3 linked regions of the Neurospora crassa OR74A genome follow. The protein of the gene in region 3 interacts with the protein of the main gene of each other region in a pairwise test. Links are inferred from orthologs where the notes say so. Each region holds a gene or a part of one and is shown on either strand. Other genes may lie near its edges.

The links.
Region 1: the proteins of NCU04485 (region 3) and NCU08668 interact in binary tests that used the Saccharomyces cerevisiae proteins (3 or more experiments, as listed by UniProt). The link is inferred for Neurospora crassa OR74A from reciprocal best matches to the Saccharomyces cerevisiae genes ESF1 and ESF2.
Region 2: the proteins of NCU04485 (region 3) and NCU04439 interact in binary tests that used the Saccharomyces cerevisiae proteins (3 or more experiments, as listed by UniProt). The link is inferred for Neurospora crassa OR74A from reciprocal best matches to the Saccharomyces cerevisiae genes ESF1 and HCA4.

Annotation. Positions count from the first base shown.
Region 1 is NC_026504.1:4,158,189-4,164,420, forward strand, and holds NCU08668 (pre-rRNA-processing protein esf-2), read left to right. Parts: upstream 1-3,124; 5' UTR 3,125-3,298; coding exon 3,299-3,863; intron 3,864-3,937; coding exon 3,938-4,395; 3' UTR 4,396-4,580; downstream 4,581-6,232. Other genes in the region: NCU08669 (betaine aldehyde dehydrogenase 2), read right to left, coding at 1,065-1,178, 1,243-2,127, 2,187-2,591; NCU08667 (hypothetical protein), read left to right, coding at 5,638-6,232. UniProt on the Saccharomyces cerevisiae protein: Involved in the small subunit (SSU) processome assembly and function, and in the 18S rRNA synthesis. Required for the early cleavages at sites A0, A1 and A2. Stimulates DBP8 RNA helicase ATPase activity.
Region 2 is NC_026504.1:3,353,570-3,360,593, reverse strand, and holds NCU04439 (ATP-dependent RNA helicase dbp-4), read right to left. Parts: upstream 4,593-7,024; 5' UTR 4,472-4,592; coding exon 4,325-4,471; intron 4,248-4,324; coding exon 1,923-4,247; 3' UTR 1,788-1,922; downstream 1-1,787. Other genes in the region: NCU04440 (hypothetical protein), read right to left, coding at 5,243-7,024. UniProt on the Saccharomyces cerevisiae protein: ATP-dependent RNA helicase required for ribosome biogenesis. Involved in the release of U14 snoRNA in pre-ribosomal complexes. Required for pre-rRNA cleavage at site A2.
Region 3 is NC_026504.1:3,203,002-3,210,029, reverse strand, and holds NCU04485 (pre-rRNA processing protein Esf1), read right to left. Parts: upstream 4,541-7,028; 5' UTR 4,473-4,540; coding exon 2,310-4,472; 3' UTR 2,064-2,309; downstream 1-2,063. Other genes in the region: NCU04484 (hypothetical protein), read left to right, coding at 1-1,826; NCU04486 (hypothetical protein), read left to right, coding at 6,376-6,387, 6,709-6,817, 6,889-7,028. UniProt on the Saccharomyces cerevisiae protein: Involved in the 18S rRNA synthesis. Required for the early cleavages at sites A0, A1 and A2.

The sequences.
Region 1 (6,232 bases), about 960 kb from region 3:
CGATATACTGCCGCCCGCTTGATTTCAGAAGAGAGAGAAGAATGAAAGAATGACCGTGTTGTGACGGCTGGTATTAGTGCATTAAGTGAGTTTGTGGGAAATGTAAAAAACGAATGAGTATTAGATAAATCTGTATCGATGGCCGCTTCCGAGGTTGCGCATGCGCATGTGTGCGTCTAAGTGAGTGAAAGTAACGTGTCTTATCGGCAGGAAGAGATGCAAAAATGATGGGCGTCTGGCGTTACCGAGGTCGACGTTGTACCTGATGATGATGGACAACAAAGGACTGTGTGAAAAATGAGGAGATAACAGGAGATCCAAAGACAAGAGAGTCAAGCTAATGCCCGAAGTGAATGGCGAAATAATGACGCACAACAGTGCAGAACGAACGTACACGATACCGTGGAAAGAGCGGAAGAGGAGAGGATGAACAAAAACAAGAGTGAATGATCAGAAAGACAAAGGAGTGGCAAGCCCGTCCAAGTGGCCCATTGACTTCTCTGCTGGCCTTCGCTGGTGACAACCCAGTGCGGCTCGGCAGTTTAGCCCTTCTGAAGTATGAATCCGGGCTCAAAGAGAGGATTGCCTGAAGAGGACCACACTTCCCGGGAACCCAAGAGAGAGGTCAAAGAAGATATACTACCGCCGCATCGGATCGTCGAACCCAACTCGGTTAGGCTTCAGGAACGTGTTCCCTTGGCCAGGGCAGACAAGAATTGACATTGATACCCTCAAAGGGCCGCGGGTGAAGTGAAGGATCGTGAATAGACGAATAGACGAGAAGAAGATGGAAGGAAAGAGGAATGAGGAAAAGCATGAGCCCGGCGACGCCCCTCGCTTAGGTTTTGGATGAGAGCCTTGGAATGCGGAACAATTGACGTGGGATCTCTTTGAGACATCCCTGAAGCAGAAAAGGCTGGTGTCTTGGATTCGTTCAATAACAGGTAACAGGGAAAGACTATCTATTGCTGATGATATGCAGCGCGCACGCGCCCGAATACCTCCCTTATTGACGATTTGTGCCTCCTTGCGTCGAAAATCGGGCGGCAGGGCGTCCCGAAACTCTATTTGGGATAGTCCTTCAGGTGGTAGCTCTTCAACTTGACGAACTGGTCGAAGCCGTACTTGCTCAACGTTTGACCCTTGCCCGAGTTCTTCCAACCAGTCCAGGCCAGATCCTGAGAGATGCGCGTCAGTGAAACGAGGTGGTTGATTGTTGTCGCAGGACACAAAAGTACTTACAGGGCTGGGAAAATCGCAACGGTTCACGAAAACTGTCCCTGCCTCTACTTCCTCGGCGAGTTCGTATCCCTTGGCCGTGTCCTTGGTCCAAATACTGGCAGTGAGGCCAAATTCGCTGTCGTTCATCAACTGAATTGCCTCGGCATCGCTCTTGACCTTCATGACTGGAATGACGGGACCAAAAGTCTCGTCCTTCATAACGGTCATGGTGTGATCCACGCCGGTCAGCAATGTCGGTGCGACAAAGTTACCTTTGTCTGGCAGAATGCTGAATGTCTCATTCTCGGGTGTCGCATTCTTGGCGCCCTTGTCGAGCGCGTCCTTGATGTGTGCCTGGATGGTCTCCTTGGAGCGCGCCGAGATGACTGGGCCGAGATGCGTCCCTTTATCCAACGGATCTCCAAGCTTGTATCCCTTAAGAACGTTCTGGACGGCCGCAATAAACTCGTCGTGAATCTTCTCGTCAACGTACACTCGCTCAATCGAGCAGCAGCTTTGACCCGAGTTGAAAACTGCGCCGTCGACAATCTCTTCGGCAGCCCAGGCAATATCGACATCACCGCGAACATATGCAGGATCCTTGCCACCCAGCTCGAGGCCGACGTTGACGATGCGATCGGACGCGGCCTTCTGGACGGCCAGGCCACCAGCAACCGAGCCGGTAAAGCAAATGTTGGCAATCTTGGGGTTTCGCACAATTGTTTCAATCACTGTCGGCGAACCCGAGTGGAAGTACTGGATGACTCCGTCGGGCAACCCAGCCTCGGAAAACACCTTGGCCACCTGCTCGACAATTGTGGGTGTCTGAGGCGAGGGCTTGAGAATGACCGAATTTCCAGACAATAAAGCGGGAATCAAGGCGTTGACGAGAATAAGATAGGGGTACTGCGCAAAGTTAGAGGTGACGGATGGAGTGTCAAAACAACATGATGGACACCACTTACGTTCCAAGCAAAGATGATGAGAACAGGACCAACAGGCACCTTTCGGATGAACCTCTTGAATCCCTTCTCCTCCTCGCCATCGGTGTCCTTCAGAGCATCGTTGCTGATCTTGAGCAGATACTCTGAGCGCTTGATGGCAGTGGCAACCTCCTTGGCAGTATAAGCAATGGGGCGGCCCATCTGGACGGTGAGTTCCTCTGCAAGTTCATCCTGCTTCTCGGCCAGCAACTTCAAGGCCTTCTTGACGATGATCTGTCTGTCCTCCAACTTGGTAGTGCGCCATCCTTGGAAGGCCTTGAAGGCAGTCTCGGGCAGTTGGACGAGTTCCTCCTCTGAAATGCCATTGCGAGTGATGATGGGTTCCCCCGTGGTGGGAGAGATGGTGGTGATCACCTCGACCGACATTGTTACAAGTAGGCTTATCGGCCAGGTATCGAGTGATAAGGATGGTGAAGTGGGATGCAGTGTTGGTTGTCACAAGGAGGAAGAGCGAGTCAAAGGGAAAGAAAAGACACAGTTCAGTTACTCTAGTACTTAGTACTATAATTCGTTATACCTTCCACAAGAAGAAAAGAGCAAACCGACTTGATTCCCATGACCCAATGACACCATGTCGCCCCTCCCGTCGCCGTCTCACTAACAAACAGGAACACGACATCACACTGCCGCACACAGAGTGGCTCCCGCTCCGTTTCTCGGCGGCAGGCCGGGGGAGCTTTGATAAGATAAAGAGTTGTTGGCAGCGCGGGGTCGGGTCTGCAGTGTATGAACTCCACCTCGGAAGGAACCTAAGGCGGGGACGGGATCAGCCAACCTGAACTTCCATTCCCATTCATACTTTGTTATCTCTTATCGGCCCTGCGTGCACGGTCCCTTCCTGCCTGTGGCCCCCAGTGGAGCCAGAAATTTTGAGAAACAGCAGCAGCCATGTCCGTCCAGCGCTTCCACGCCAAAAGAAGACTTGCGAATCGCGTCGTGATCCTTCTCCAACGCAAACAAACACCCGACTGCCCTAAATCTCCCCATAACGACCCAATCATTCAACCTACGAAACTTTCAGCATACAACAAAAAGTCCACCAATTAGAAACACAAGTCAATCATCCATCGACAATGCCGGAGGACGATGTCAGAAACAAGTTCCTCGATGCTGGCGATAGCGACGACGATGCGGGCCACGGTTCTGACTCGGAGGATGATTTCCAAAAGGGTGGCCGTAACGCCAAGCGCAGAAGAGTGAGCGATGACGAGGACAGCGAAGCCGACGACTTTACCGACGCAGAGGAGGAACACGACCAAGATGATGCTGAAAGCAAGGATGCACCTGCAAAGGACGGCCAGGAAACAACAGATGGAAAGGAAAAGAAGGATGGAAAGAAGGAGAAGGAGAAGAAGTCGGTACTAGCGAGTGACCTTCCGGGCATGACGAAGCCTCTCACAAAGAAGAATCTCATCGTCACGGAGGAGGCCATCAAGAAGTCGGGAGTGGTGTACATCTCCAGGGTACCACCTTTCATGACTCCTGCCAAGTTGCGCTCCCTGCTGGAGCCGTACGGAAAGTTGAATCGCATTTTCCTGGCCCCCGAGGACCCAGTTGCGCGACGCAAGCGCATTCGCAGCGGAGGCAATAAAAAGAAGATGTTTACAGAAGGCTGGATTGAGTTTGTCAAGAAGAAGGGTAGGTCTTCATTCCGTGAGACTCGCTGAGACCCAAGTACAAAGACGCTAACAAGAAAACCCGTTTGTTTGCAGACGCCAAAAAGGCATGCGAACTCCTCAATGCCCGTCCAATCGGAGGCAAGAAGGGATCCTACTACCGCGACGATATCTGGAACTTGCTCTACCTCAAGGGTTTCAAGTGGCACAACCTGACCGAACAAATCGCTGCTGAGAACGCCGAGCGATCCAGCAGAATGCGCGCCGAAATCTCCAAGACAACCAAAGAAAACAAGGAGTTCGTCCGCAACGTGGAGAGGGCCAAGGTGCTGCAGGGCATTCAGGCAAAGAAGGCGTCCAAGGGCAGCAAAGCGGGCGGTGAGGGTGCCGCCCAAGTCACAGAATCTACTATTCCCTCGGCGGCGGCAACGACGACGACGACAACAAACGACGATAAGAGGAGAACATTCAAGCAAATACCCTTGGCCAAGAAGAGGAAGCTCGATGAGACACAGCCCGAGCAAGTACAAAGAGTGCTCAGCAAGATCTTTTAACCTTCTCGTTTGGCCCCCGAACAATAGGTTTGAGACACGGAGCGTTCATGTACCTGTGGGATTTCTGTCGTCAAAGCGACTCCGAGACATTAGAGATGGGTGGTGTTGATTTTCTTTCCCTTAGGCAATTGTATATATTTTTCTGCCTTCAGTCATCTTGATACCCAACCTGATTTCCTTTTGCTATGAGAGCATCTCCATTTCCGTCACTTTGTCATATCCCTACTTATCGACGCTGCACAGAAACCGGCCGGCGTTTGGTTTAATTGGCCCACCATGAGCACATTCCAAATCCCAGCCACGAGGAAGAGTGCCCCTGACGATACGGTCAACACTCGATACAACTTCACCAATTGTCCTGTCGCAAATGCTGTCAAAAGGGGATCATATTTAACGACTCACCCGACTTACGCCCTTCGCATACTTCAAGGACTCATCCAGCGTATGCTTGACGTAGATGAGGAAGGTTGCGAACATTTCTCAAAACGTCGCCTGGACACCATACTCCAATATACGTCCTGGTCAAACTATATCATCGGGCATATCCGCCAAGACCGCTCTTGTCGTTATTTGAGTGAAGATCAGATGCACAAGTTCTTCCATGCATGTATTCAAACGGTCGAGGATGGCTGTACCCTGTGGGAACATATATACCTTTTGAAACCTAGTTGCTGTGCTGGGCGTGGCTCGTCTCAGGATGAGAGCCTGGAAATGACCACATCTTCACCCAGGTGGTTTTCGAGTAGCACATCCTCAGCATCAAATGAAACCATCAGTTCGGCAACTCAAACACCCCTACTTTGGTCAAGAAACCCCTCTCTCGAGCGAGAAGCGACTCCTCGATCTGTTTCCCCTTCTCCTCCGCCCCCAACAAAATCGGACCTTGTGCTTTTCCAGCCAAGGACAGTTAGCATCTTACCAGTAACCAGTGACTGCTTGTCCAGACTCCGCGAAATTTTCAGCTTCTACTGGCAAAGGTTTATCTACGGACCCCTCGCCTCCCTCTACCGGTGGTTCTGGGACACACAAGCCAATCCTATGGGCTCTACCTTCGGATCACGTCTTGGGCTAAGAGCACCAACCTTTTACCCCTTTGCCCCAAACGACAAACAGTCAAACTCGCAGAAGCTATTAGAATGGCCAATCTCGTCAACACCGCCAGCGACCCCATCTGCACAGAGTGTTGCCAACCCCGACCATAACAGCAAGGAGATAAATGAAGATCCGACGCCAGCAGACCGAATGTTCAAGACAAGGGAGGAGGTCAAAGATATGTGGTGGAAGGTGATGGCCAAAATCCTGTTGGCCGAACACCGTGAGCGGAGGGAGAAAGAAGCGGTGGCTTCAACTTGGGAGAGGGCGAGCGCAGCAAGTGTTACGGAGAGTACCTCTAGGTCGTCTTCCGCTATTTCGTTTGTGAGTAGCGAGGGAAGTGATTACTCGCTGCGTCCTGAGGACTGCTTCTCGACCGTTGGCTCAAGGTGCGGTCACTCACAAGATGGGGATCAAGAGTCAGTTCAACCTGCTACCAGCCATTCCTCAACCCCTGAATTCGAGGAATGGTATGCCGAGTGGTTCTCTCATTGGGTGTTGGAAACTTCTTGCAAGCTGAGGTCCCCAGAATCAGAGGATAGATTCTCTTGTTATTCATTTTCTTCGTCAGCAGCGCCGGTAAATGACAGCAATCATCTTGAGGATAGCAACGCCTCCGATGACGACGACGAGATCACGGACATCCGAACCAGACCCTCCACACCTACACCGCTTTCCTCGCCTACTATTAGCCCCCTCCGCGGTCAAGATCGATACCGCTGTCTTTCTCTGTCCCGGTCATTCT
Region 2 (7,024 bases), about 150 kb from region 3:
GTGTCTCGACGGTAAGAGTAGTCATGGTCAATCTCAATGAGGGAAAAGAAGTTTAGGCCAGCTGGCGCCTTGGTAAATGTAATTGTATCTCCGCAAGCAGGCTTCTGGATGACAAAGCTGAGGTGAGGGGCCGAAGAGGGCACACGTCGTTTTGCAGAAACATCTTATAAGTACGAGTGGGCAGGGAAGCAGAGGACTTGGATGGTGACGCTATCATCAAGTACCTCTAGGTACCTCATCCAATGGGATTTGGCATAGCACGCAGTATGCAAGTGCCAACGAGCAGTACAAACAAGCAGACAGCCGGAGGACTCGCTCAACCCTGCGTGGAAAACCTGCTGAATGTTAGAATCTGCAGCTGATCTTGATGGACGCGCAAATATGACTACGGAAAAGGCACATGATTGTAAAGTGGTAATAAAAGATGACAACCGGAATTCAAGCCAGCCTACTTTTCTAGGAGGGAGTGCCGGTCAATAGACGCCAAGGTACGGAGTTTCAACGTTAACTTTGTGCCTTGATGAGAACGTATCAAGTACTTGAAGGCAGTAGAAAACTTGACTCGGCTTGGTCCAACTGATGTGATAAGGTATGGATAAGTATCTCCGATGATGCCTGATTTCCAGAGAAGTTGAAAATCAATGGCCCGAGTCTTTGCGGAATTGGAAATGTGCTAAAAAGCGTGCTGGTGTGCGGAAGACAGACAGAGGAGCATTTACAAGTAAGATGAAGCTGTACCAGTCATCTCGAACATCTGTTGACGGCGATAATTGCTGTCCAGGAAAACATCAGACAGCCTTACCAAGGGGTGTGTGGGTGTGTAAAAGACTGATCGCAACAAACGCGGCATCTTATCGTGAAGGGGCTATATCATGGATGCTTGCATCTCGTCCCGTCGTTCGTTTGACACAAGCCTCCCGTCAGTCGAGGGGAAGCACCTTAACTCTCCATTTCTCCTATTCCCCGCTACGGACCTCAGGCAGATGCCTTGAACGAGATGGCTTTGATCAGATACCTACCTAGACAACAACCAGTCTCTTGCAGAGAGTGTGCAAATAATTCAAGGGACGAAATATCATCATATGGGTTCCCTAGCAAGAGTGTTGATACTTAACTTACTCCGAACTGCTTGATCTGAGGCTTGAGCCTTACATATGCTGTGCCGACATTGCTACTTGTAAATGTCATACAACACCATCATGTTTATCGATTATTTTTTTCCCCCTTGAAGGATAGGTGGTGCGACGGAACGGCCAGTGTAGCTGACACCCAGGGTTGACATTAACCAGCCCGCTGTTGTTGCGAATCACTTGGAAGAAAAGGCATGTTCCCACGAGTGCGGAGAGATAGCTGGGTTACCTCACAGTTTCGCCTACGAAAAAAATGATTTCAGAGGAAAAGAGGACACAAAGAGAAGGTAGAGCATTTTCAAACTTTCAATAAATGAGAGGTAACGAACGACAGAAACAGATCAATCCCGCCTCAGATGGGGATGATCGAAGTATCAAATTTGACACCTTGACTTCTCTTCCAGGTTCTGGCCTGCTCCTTCATCCACAAATGATTGACGAAGGCGAAAACGGAAGCAGCCATCCATCCGAGTGTCCGGGGTGCTGTCCTGTGCTGGAAGGAGCGAGAGACATGCTTCAGAAACTTACGAAATGCTTCGTCCAGCCTTACAGTACCCCGAAATCTCGCCGCAAGCTGCTGGGAAAGGATGGATAGAGACTGGAGCTGGAAATGTATTCTACACGAAGGGAGCATAGTGGCATGGGACCGACCCTTTTGTCAAAATACGTGGTTTAGGTATCATAACAAGTCTAAAACTATCGCAAAATACGTATGTAAACATCCATGATTGGATGACGAACCCCGATATCTCTCCTTTTCCCACACCAACACCAACATTGAAAACCAACTCATCAATCCTCCAACAAGCCAGCGGCCAAAGCCTCCAAATCCTGCAAGTTATCCGGCTCATGATCCATCTCAATGACCTTCCTGCCGCCCTCCATCTTAGCCTTCTTCCTCCTCGGCCTGCCGTCATCGCTATACTCCGTATCCGAGTCATCCTTCTGGAACCACTTCTTAGCCTTCTTCTTAGGCGGTTCCCTATCGTCCTCGCTCTCGTCACCGCTGTCACCGCCCTTGCCAGCAACAGGCAAACTTCTGAGCAAAGCCAAAGGATCCTCCTCCACATCGCTGTGCGCGTCCAGCAGCGCCGGCTGCAGGGGACCCTTCTCCCTCTCGACCTCCTCTCCCCTCTCCCTTGCCTTGGCGCGCTCCCTCTTCTCCTTCCTCCGCTGCTTGGCCAGCAGCTTGTCTTCGACATCCTGCTCCTTGACCTTGGTGGCTTCGCTCTCGACGAACTTCTGCCTGAGCTCCTTGGCGTCGCCCTCCTTCTGGAAGTCCTCCTCGTCTTGCAGCTGGTAGAGCGGGTGGGCGTTTCCTTCGTCGTCAAACACAAGCTTCTGGCCCTTCTCCATGTACTTGAGCAGCTTCTTCTTGGACTTGAGCAGCTTCTCGCGACGGTGCGAGTCGATGACCAACTCGGCGTTCTTGCCCAGCTTGACCACCTTGGCCGTGCCGTCGGGGTTGGTGCCGGACTTGGCATTGCCGGCGGCGTCGTCGAGGGCGGCATCGTCGTCCAGCACGCGCTTGACCGAGAGGAAGTCGTCTTCCTCGTTGTCTTCTGCCTGATCTTCTCCGAGAAGCTTGCGGTAATGCGTCGACAAGACGTCCTGGTTTTGACGCTCGGCCATCTTGTCGTACTTTGTCCTGACCTCCTTCTTCTTCTTGCGGATCTCGCCGTCCGAGCCTTCGGTGTCGGACCCGCTGGACATGGCGGCGCGCGAGGCATTCTTGAGCTTCTTGACGTCCTCGCCCTTCTGGTATCTGATCTGTGGAGTACCTGGGAGACCCAGGCTGGAAGCAAAACCGTCGAGGTCGAGTTTGTCGAACTTGAACACCTCCTTATCCTTTTGCAGGTAAATCGAACGGACGTACGAGACGAAAGCCTTCTGTCCGAGGTATTTGAGATCGGGTGACTGGAAACACTGTGACTGTAGTTCGTTCTTGATGCTCTTCTTCTTGTTTTCTTTGACGTTCACTTTCTGGACGGTCACCTTCTTGTGCTCGAGACGCTTAAGGAAACCCTCTTCTTCGCTGGGGTCGAGGAACAAGACGGCGCGGCCCTTGCTCTCGTAACGCGCCGTTCTGCCGACGCGATGGATGTAGGTGTCGGCATCTTCAGGGCAATCGACCTGGATGACCCAGTCAACGGCGGGGAAATCGACACCTCTGGCCACGACATCGGTGGCGAAGAGGCAGGAGTATTTCGCGGACGTGAACCGGTTCGTGATCTCGAGACGTGCTATTTGTTTTTGGCGACCATGCAAATGTAGTAGTGGAATACCGGGCTGCATCCGCTTAAAACTTTCGTAGACGAATCTGACCTGCTTGCCGGAGGACATAAACACAATAATCTTGCTCTTGAGGTTCGTTCGTAGGAAGCCCCATAGCGTGTCGAGCTTCTCAGGGAGAGGTGTGACGATGTAATGCTGTTGGAGGCCGACGGGGGTCGCCGATGCTGCGGCTTCGTGAACAGAGACGTATTCGGGGTCCTTCAAGCTCAACCGGGCAAGGTCCGAGACACGCTTGCTTTGTGTGGCGCTAAACAGCAGGGTCTGCCTGCTCTTGGGAAGATGCTCAACAAGAGCGTCAACGGCCTGTTGGAAACCCATGTCCATGATGCGGTCGGCCTCATCAAGCACGAGCATCTGGAGGTTGTCGACATCGAAGCCGGCCGTTTGGTCGAGATGCTGCAGCATACGGCCAGGTGTGCAGACGAGGATATTCATGCGCCCAAGACGCTCCGCCTCCTCCTTCAAGCTCTTTCCACCAATGACCAAGCCTGCCGAAAAGCTGTGGTTGCGACCAATCTTCCTGAGAACTTCAAATATTTGGACGGCCAATTCACGGGTCGGGCTGATAATGAGGGCACCGAGACCGTCGTACTCAGTCCATCGTGCACGGTATAGCTTCTCGAGGACGGGAACAAGGAAGGCGAGGGTCTTGCCGCTACCTGTCCTAGCAGCGCCGAGGATATCTTGCCCTTTGAGCGCGAGAGGGATGGCGGCGCGTTGGACATCGGTTAGGACCTCGAAATGGGATGCGCGTAGTCCAGAGGCGGTAGGTTCGCAAAGGGGAAGGTCCGAGAACTTGTTGAGTTCGGTGGATTTGGGGTCCTAGTAGATTGAGACACAATATTTAGAAGCGTGTGCGGTTGTATGGTGAGAAACGGGGGTTCAGTACTAGGACTTACAAGTTCGTCGATTCTCTTCTGAAGCGCCTCGAGGTTCTCCAACTCTCTTTTCCTCTTCAACGTCTTGTGTTCGGCCTTGTTGGCTTTGGACCTCTCCTTCTCGGCTTTGCCCTTGCCACCGCGGCCTTTGGGGCCTCCTGGAGCCATTGTGTTTGTATCGTCTGAACGTGCTGGAAATTGGGCGTGGTGGGTTCGACGAAGTTCCAAAGGTCGGGTCTGCTAGTCGAGCGAATCCAATTGCCTGCGGGTCGTCGCTGGTGGCCTTTCAGTTCGATGCGAATGGGAAAACTTTTGGCGGAGAGCAATTCTGCCAGCTCGACCCACCTCATCCACTGTAAGCGAGGGGATCTGCAGCAGGGGTCTCGGACTCGCGGCCAGCTCAGACCAGGGTTAGGGTCATACGAGCAGACAGACGACCATCGAGTTGTCAGCCCCCAGTGACATTCTCAAGTCGTTGCTATGGTTCATGATGGGTTGGATGGGCAGTTGTACGGGGCTGAAGTAGAAAATTCACAGTAGCTTTTGCATCGAACCAAATTCGAATTGTAGTGGTTTTATCTCAGCGCCCACAACTTCAGCAATCTACATGTTTCACTTAGAACAGCAACATTCGAACATCAACACCGTGCCTGAGCAATGAAAAGAGCCAAACTATCATGAAAGCATAATGTATTGAACCACGAAAAAAATGAGCTTGAAGACGGGTATCGCTCGCTCACATGATTCCTTCGTAGGTAGACACCCGCAATAAAACCAACCCACTAGACCCACCCATATGTACGTTTCCCAAAGTTGAAAGCGATAAAAAAAAAAAAAAGGACCAAAACGCCTTGCCCCATTCCCAATTTCCTTGCTTTTCCCTTCAATACGTATTCGGTAGCTCAAGATCCGTCGCCCAGATACCCATTATCAATCCTGTTATTCCTCGCCCTCGTACTCTAATTCCTCCCCAAACAGTTTCAGGCGGTAAATGCATGTATGATCCAGGGCTCCATGGTTCGTCTTGGCTCTGACGACCACCTTGTACGTCGCCGCATCCAGATCGAGCAACTCCTCCGACAGCTTGTGGACAAACATGCCGTGGCTACCGCTGGTCTTGGCATAGTCGTACTCCAGCTCGCCGATCTTGACGTATTTTCTGTTGATGAGGGACAGCGATTTTTTGTTGTTTGCGTCGACCATCTTCATGTCAGCTTCGCGCTCGCCAGGGTACAACTCGTCCATCCAAGCCAGGAGTCGCTTGTTGTCGTCCGCGTCCGGATAGTATCCCCAAATCTCAATGTCTTTGGGCATGGACCCAGGGTCATTCGTCGCGTTCGGATGGACGTGCTCAACGACGATGGCTTGGGGAATGACATGTTTGGCCATCTCCACGGCGAGCTCGGCCCCCCTGCTGGCTGAGATGCCAGCGCACCAGCACTGGCCAACGTCGTTCCAGGCAGAGAGCGCCAGCATGTATTCTGCTTCCAGGGTGACCTTATCCTTGCTCGAAATGGGCTTCGGCTTGCCGAGCAGTTTGCTGAGGTGCTTGTTGCCTGGCAGTGCTTGCGACTCAAGTCGGTATACGGGGGATGATTCCGACAAGACGATACCAGCTTCATTGCCCAGGCCGAAATGATTGACTTGAGTTTCAACGTAGTCGTGGTAGTTGCGCATGATGCCGTCCTTAGCGGCTGCTTCAAGTTGCGCCCGAGGAATCTCCTTCTTGACAATATTCCTAACCAAGGTGGTGATTTCGGACTTGGAAAGACTGCCTTCGGAGTTGGAGATGGCCGCCTTGACCGTAGTGTCGATGAGTGTCTCAAGCCCTTTCTTGACGGAATCCAATTGACCATCAATCTCCTCCTTGTGTTCTGCAATCCTTTTCTTCAAGAGGCCCACAAACTCATCTCGGCTGATGGCTGCGTCACGCGTGACCCCATCGCCTTTGTCGCCTGGTAGATGCTCCTTGACAACCTGGGCAACCTTTTCCCCGTTCTTGGTTACCCAACGTTCCCAAGATTTGGAAACAGTGCCTTCAGCAATCTGCAAGATATGCTCATCCGATGGGCCCTTCTCGAAAAGTCCGGCTTTGATGAGGCGCGGCCGTAGTGCGTCCCAATGCTCTTCGGAAATGTCACCAGTGCCGTCAAGCGTGAGAACCGAGCTGTCCTTGAGCATCTTATCCAGAAGAGCATGCCAAAAATCGTCCTGAATGATGAGATCGCCGTTTGGACCACGTTTAACGTGCACCATCCGGGGAAGAAGAGTTTGGATGTTTTTGACAGCACTCTCCGTAGAAGAAGATTGTTCAAGGATAAAGTCCTTCAAGTCATTAAACTGATCATCCGTTAGCTGCGGATGACTGGGGATGAACTGCCCGACGTTGCTCCTCCAGTGCTTCCAGCCATACCATCGGATGCTGGTATTCGCATCCGGCGAACCATAAGAAGACGCGGTTAAGACTATCAGACCGATGAGGAGCACTGGTACAAGGAATGTGAACAGCTTCCACACGCCCCATGTCGAACGGCGAATCAAACTCAGTAATCGTTGCACGAAGGTAGGAGGAGCAGTAGTATACGGAGGAGGCGGTGTTTCCACGTTGGTGGTATTTGACTGTTCGGCTCGCGGCCTGGATGTTTGGTTTGGTCTTGCAGCTGTGGGCTTGGACACCTTGCCAAAGGACGGATACTGTTTGTCAGACATGGATTTCGCCTC
Region 3 (7,028 bases):
CAGCCAACCTTCACTCAACCACGTCGAAGCCACATCCCGAACGCACCTTGTCCTATACAGAACCGACCACCTGCCCATCCATACCATCATCATTTCCACTCGTCACACCAAGCAAAGATACAGATAGCACATCACCCAGCACTGCCTCAGCAACCACCCCGCCGAGCAGCCTACAGGCCACACCAAGTCCTACCGCTCACTTGCCTTCCATTATCAAGTCGAGACAGCCCACCACACCCGTCATTCCCGCCTCATTTTCCGCAGACACCCAGGGTACCACAATCTCCAAGCCAAAGATCATCATTCTCCACCACGACACTGTTATCGATGGCCGCCGCATCATCATTCGCACAATCCAGAACTGTTTCGCAGCCATTCTCGGTCCAAACGCCCCACAACCAAGTGAGACCGCAATTCTCAACGCTTTTGCTCATAATGCTACGCTCGGGGAAGCCCTTGATCAGCTTGGTGCTTTCAAGACTCCCAGCAAGCCGGACTCCTCTTCTGCTGCTGCAGCAGAAGCAGCCAACTCAGACACCACCAAATCAAGCTCCAAAGATAAAGGTAAAGGCAAAGCCAAAGTCATGGACCCAAGCACACCCACACAAGAGGAACAACAATACGACTACCAACACGCAATCGCCCTCTGGACACAGGCCTACCTCCACTACACCCACGAATTCCTCTCCGAATTTGACATTTACCCGGACCTAGAGCCCTTCGCCAAGCAGATGAAGCAGCAGGACGTTAACGTGGTTATTCTCATCGCGCAGGATGGCTTTGAATCTTCTTCTTCTTCTTCACCTGAGCAGACCTCAAGCACAGACGGAGACAAAGATGGGAAGAAGAGCAAAAAGAAGAAGCAGCAGAAGCAGCAGCAGCAGCAGCAGCCTGCAACGCCGGCACCGGGCGTAAAGATTATCCAAGAACTGATGAGACGCATGGGTGTCACGGCTGCTGGTAAAGGGGCTAGGGGATATCAGGGTCAAGGAAGACAGGCGGCAGCAGTAGGTGGAGCGACAGCGGCTGTGGTGGTGGTGGGTGGGATTTATGCTTCTGGTATTGAGGGGGAGGCGGTTGCGAGGGTTTGGAAAGGTGACATTTTGCCTGGATTTATCACGCCTCAGATCGCCATCGCCAAGGAGGCAAATTCGGACGGCGGTGAAGGTAATGCCAGCAAGGGAACGGACGTGAAAGTAGGTACAGTGGCGGCCGATTCCCCGGAAATGCGAAAAGACGAGGTTCTCTTTGCCTGCTGCTCAAAGCAATACCTTGGCCTGGCAAGGGCTATTGGAGCAACGGCTTGCTGGGTTACCAGGTGTGAAGACAAGACGGCGGGCGAGCAGCAGCCGGATATTGTTGTTGAGGATTTGGAAAAGTTGGGTCATCTTGTTGTTGGCGACATGGTATCGAATGGCAAAGGAGAGGAGTCCGTGGTGGAGGCTAGACACAGCAGGCAGCGAGACGAAAGCGGTATCATCACCAGCGAGAAGAAGAAACAGACACCAAAGAACAAAACAACGACAATTACGACGGAGGATATCGATATGCCTGACGCTGACTGCAACGATGGTGCCGCAGTGGACCAAAAGATCGAAGAGACACAGGATGATGGCAGTGAGGGACAGAGCGAACGCAAAGTGGCTTCTTCCAAGCCAACGAAAGTCGTCAAGACCGAGCAAGTCGAAGAAAAGAGTGTGGCTACTGTGGCCCAGCAAAAGGAGTCTACAGGCAAGAAGAGAACGAGGGATGATGTGGAGGAGTGGCTGCCGGTGGAGATGGGAGGGGAAGAGGTTCCGGTTGTGGATCTGACGGAGGAACCTTGACGACTGGCCGGAGGTTGAGAATCGCTTGCAAACCTCGAAGGACGATGAAAAGAGGTAGCTATGGATAAGACGAACACAATTGTCGAGGGAAGAATGTCGGAGGCCCAGTGTCTTTCCAGGGGTTTTGCCAGACACACAGAGTTATTTCCTCGGGGAGAGAGATTAAGAAAGGTAAAGGCAAACATCTCGACAACAAAAGCTCCAACTTACATGGCCATGAGGAACTGATGGACCTCGAGTACCACATATTATGGCCGCCATTGTGAAGTGGAAAAGAGTTGCGAGGTAGCTGTACGTGGTTCTGTCCTCATCCACAAAAGGGGACGATCATTAAAGACAAAGGGAGCAACCCTACATGACCTGAATTTAAACCACATTGACCCAAGGACCATTTACAAGACTGGACAGTGGAGGAACGACAGATGGATGTGAACCAACAGAAATCAAAAACTTGCCATTAATATGCTGTTACCCGTGATGCAATCATTTCTTCGCCTTCGCCTTCGCCTTCCTCTTGACAGAGTTGATCAGACCATCGATATCCGCGTCGTCAGTCTTGACCTTCTTGGCGCTCTTCTCACTCTTCTCCGTAACACTGGGTCCATCCTTGCGCTTCTTTCTGCCCTCCTCAAGAAGCTTCTTCATACCCTGAGTAGCCGTGAACTTAGGATTAGAGGGATCAATAGCGAACTCGTGGCTCTCGAAAACGGCCTTGAAACGAGGATCCTCGACGTCCATGGCGAACTCTTCCTGGAGACCATCGTTGCCCTCCACGCCCTTCTTGCCCTTCTTGCCCTTCTTCTTGCCCTTGACCTTCTCGACCTTGGCGATCTGCTTCATGTCGAAGTGATCGAGACGGCCACTGTCACCGTTTTCATCAGCCATAAGCAGCTCCAGCTGTGCCTTCTCGGCGGCGTTGGCAGCCTCCTCAGCTTCCCTCTCAGCCTTCTTCTTGAGCCTCTCCTCTTTGCGAATCGCCGTCTTGGAAGGCACCACAGGCTCAGCAGTGAAGAATGGATCGTCGAAACCGAGATCTTCGCCTTGGTCGCCTTGCTCTTCCTCCTGCTGAGGAGCGGCGTTGGGATCGCGACCTTCCCTCCTAGCAAGCATCTCCTGCCGCTTCCTCTCCTTTCTCTCGCGCTCCTTGCGCTTGTACTTCTCGATGGTCGTCTCCTCCCTATCTTCGTCACCCTTCTTCTTGTCGTTGGCGGATAGTGCTGGCGTGAAGGTGATTTGCATCTCGCCCACCGGAGTATCCTTCTTGGACTTTACCACGGGCTCGTCAGCAAGACCAAGAGCAGCGCGCATCTTGCGCCTGGCAAGCTCCTTCTTGGACAGTGTCTTTTCCTCTTCTGCTTCCTCGGCAGCGGCCCCCTCGGCCTCGAACTGCTCCTTCTCCTCCTCGTCCTCCTCGTCGTCTGAGCTGTCGCTCGCAAGGTAAGCGCGCAAGTCGTTCTCGGCGATATCGTTGCGGCTACCGGTGAAGGCCTTCTTGAGAGCTTCTTTTCTTGAGTAATCTTCGGGGTTCGTATCCCAGGTGAGTTTGACCTTGGAATGCTGGAGAGCATCGGTCACGAACTCCACCGGCTTGTACCCCGCAGGGACGCTGTCGCACTCGTCTCTGGGTTCGTCGTCGAACGTGACATCGTCGGGGACAAATCGCAAGTCGAGGAAGTTGGAAGAAGAAAGATACTCGTTGCCATCCGTCGCCTCGTAGATCTTGTATGCTGTGTTCTTGTCGGAGCAAACCATAACGGCGTAGTAGTAACGTAACCTGTCGAGCTGATAAGTGCGAAGGGCGTCACTGTCAAAGTCCTGGTCGTCTCCTTCCTCAAGAAGCTCCTTCTTGATGGCCTCGTCCGAATCAGAGTCCTCCGAGTCACTGTCGGAATCGGAGTCACTCTTCTTCTTGAAGATCTCCTGGGGAGGACCCTCCAGCTCTTCTCTTTGCATCCTCTGCTTGCCGAACTCGCTAGGGTAGACAGATACCTTCTCGATGCGACCACCTGGGGGCACGAAGCTCGAGAAGAGGGCGAATAGATCGATCGACTTGATATGGTCCCAGTCAATGTTGACGATGGCAACTCTGTTTGTGATCTCGCCTTCCTCAACAGCCTCCTTATCCTTGCGCAAGCGGATACCGGGTCGTGTTTCCGCATCAGCCTCGTCTTCCACCTCTGGCTTTTCGTCTTCGGAATCTGAGGAGTCGGAGTCGGAGTCGTCATCGGATGAAGAAAAACCGCCGCCACGGGCAGGGTCGTATGAGTTGGCAGCCTCGAGTTCGCGCTGAACAATGTCGTCGTCCTCGACCTCGAAGTCGCTCTCGTCTTCCGCTTCGTCCTTCTTTCCCTTGCTGGCCTTCTCTTTGGCCTCGTTGTCTGTGGCGTCCTCGCTCTCATCCTCGTACAGCCGTTCCAAAGCCTTCTTCTTGGTGTCGGTCTTTAGCTTGCGGCCGTACCTGTCGACCTTTGCGACGGCGGTGAACTCTGCATCTTTGAGAACCTTGGAGAAACGCTTGTCGAGCTTGGTCTTTAGGTTCTTTTTTGAGGGCAGCTGGAATCGCGGGTCGGTCTCGAAGTTGGCAAAGCGAGCATCGGTAATCGCAGGAGCGCCATCGCGCTTTTTAGGCTTGTTATCTTTGGGCATGGTGGATGTGGAGATGGTGACTGATGCGATCCAAAATCGAGGATTCGACGGCAGCAAGGAAACTCGCAGATTCGACCCGACATGTGCACAGCACGCAAAGTCCGAGAAAATTTTAGTGGAGCGTTGTTGATTCTGCCAAAGGCGGTCTGCACATGCTAATGTCAAGGTGCCCCACCTAAAACGCCAAGTCCTGTGCTATGGATCAATCCACTTCCCCGCATTGGTGCCCTGGCATGCAGCAAATGGAGCCCGCTAAAAACTCCGTCAAAAGCCAAAGTCCACTGACGCTGTCAGCGCAGGGCTGTTCAACCTCGAAAAACTCCAAAAACGCCATCGTCCTCCAGCAATCCCGTCGATGATTGTCCTCGACCATCCAATCCAACAAATTCGGGTATCAACTTGTCCGTCATTCGGAATCCAACGTATAATCCTGTCATCGCATGCCTCATCGGCCGTCCTTCAACTTATGACCAGAGAACTCCCATTCGACGTCACCCACCCACCGATCGGCCATCCAGTCCTGTCCGCTGTCGCTGTCGCTGGTCATCGAATCTGGACCTTCCACTCGTTAGGACGACTGATATCGCATGAATTGACAGTGTTCGCGGATTGACTACCTACCGAAGATGTTACGCAGGTTTCAGTTCTTTAACTGTTCCCATGCCACATCGTTGCGCCCAACGTAAGGATCCCAACAAGCATCAAGAGCGACAATAGCGTTGTGCAAGCCCTATTCTCTGCCTTGACGTCTTCGTCTTGGTCGGAGGAAATGAGTCGTGAGTAGCTCTCCAGATTCATGGTTTGTATAAGTTGGAAGAACCTGGTCGACAGTGCCGCGTTATCGGATGGGTTGTTAAGGATGTGTCTGGGACGTGGGATCCTGAGATATGAACCGGATGGTTAATGAGGGTTGGATGGCGAGTCCAAAAGATGAAGGGCGTCCGAACAAGACTTATAATTGTTCTTTGGTCCCCATCCGAGAATCAATGGCCCACCACTATTCGTTCCTCACTTCAGGGGCAATCATCATTACACAACTTCCGGACCAAGTCCAAGCTGTTCTTTGTTTGCGCTCAACCAGGAAAGAGATCCTTGGTGATGGTCAGGTGGGGTTACCAAGGCGGGAGTCGAGGCGAATGTCCCTAGGACTGAGCTCCGGAATGCCTCTCCGGGTGTCATCGACTCCGCATGCCTTGCCAACACAACCCCGGAAAACCCTAAATCAGATGTCGATGATGTTCTTGGCATTTTCACAAGCGAGAAGCATCAACAATGCCTGCATCACGTGAGACACCGAGCACGCCTTTCTTCATCAACAGAGTGAACCACAGAGTCCGGATTTGGGTGTTTGTATTCTTCATCCTGCCCAGCTGTTTGGGACGCGACATTGACTCGAAGCCATCAACGACATTCGAGACCTCTGTCAACCACATTCCCGGCCGTGCCAGCGTCGCTTGCCCCTGGCTGACTTCCCGTGAGCGGCTACACACCCGAGACTCATTACTACTGCACTATGCACACACCCGATACGGTGAGCAGGGTAACCAAAACCCGTGGGCCAGGTTGCTCGCGATCGCTGATCACACAGTGCCCTATACAAAGCCACGAAGCTTTGCTTGTGGTGGGTCATGCTCGGTACTTGACAAAGGGTTTTACTTTGGCTCGCAACCACAGTTACTTTAAGTAGGTACTCCCGGGAGCAGGAGCCGGCAGAGGACGGTTGAATCTCGCGTTTGCGCTGCAGGTACCAACATCGTCACCAATCGAAACACCAAGCATTCTTCCAGGTTGCCATCACGCGGCCGACACATCGACAACTTATACCCAGGCCTCAACATGCGTACAGCGTTTGCCTACGAACAGCGACACCAGTAACCTTTCTCTACGTTTCGGCAGGCCTCTCATGTTTCCGTCTGTATGTAAACGATTTTGTTCGTGAAAACGAAGATTGACTTTAGCTGCATCATATGTACAACAATTATGTAGGAAGACACCAAGTGGTGTCACAGAACTGACTCTCTATAAATTCCCGCGCAAGACTCAAGTATCCAGGTCCTAAGATGAACAACGGCAACTTGAATCATCCCAAAGTCGCCGGTTTATCCTGCCTCTATTCCAGAAAAACCGAAAGAAAAGCTTAACGTACTCAACACTGCACAAAACCCTTCTCAAGATGGTACACTGCTGCCTTTTTACTCCCTTCCCTGCTTCTGCCAGAGCTGACCATGCCCTCAAGATTCCTTTGATTCCTGTCGTTGCTGGGCTAGCCGCTGTCGCTGCACCCGCGATAGTTACCGCACCCATTCTCGCCGTATTGGGATTCGGTGCTGCGGGGCCTGTTGCTGGTCAGTGTCACCTACATACGAAGCGCAATCTAAGCCGTTGTGGTCGGAGATCAAGTGCTGATACAAAGCAGGCTCTGCTGCAGCCATAGCTCAGGGCGTAATCGGCAATGTTGTCGCTGGCAGTCCCTTTGCCATTGCGCAGAGCGCTGCAATGGGCGGATATGGTGCCGCAATTGTCAACGGAGTTGTTCAAGGTGGCGGATTGCTCGTC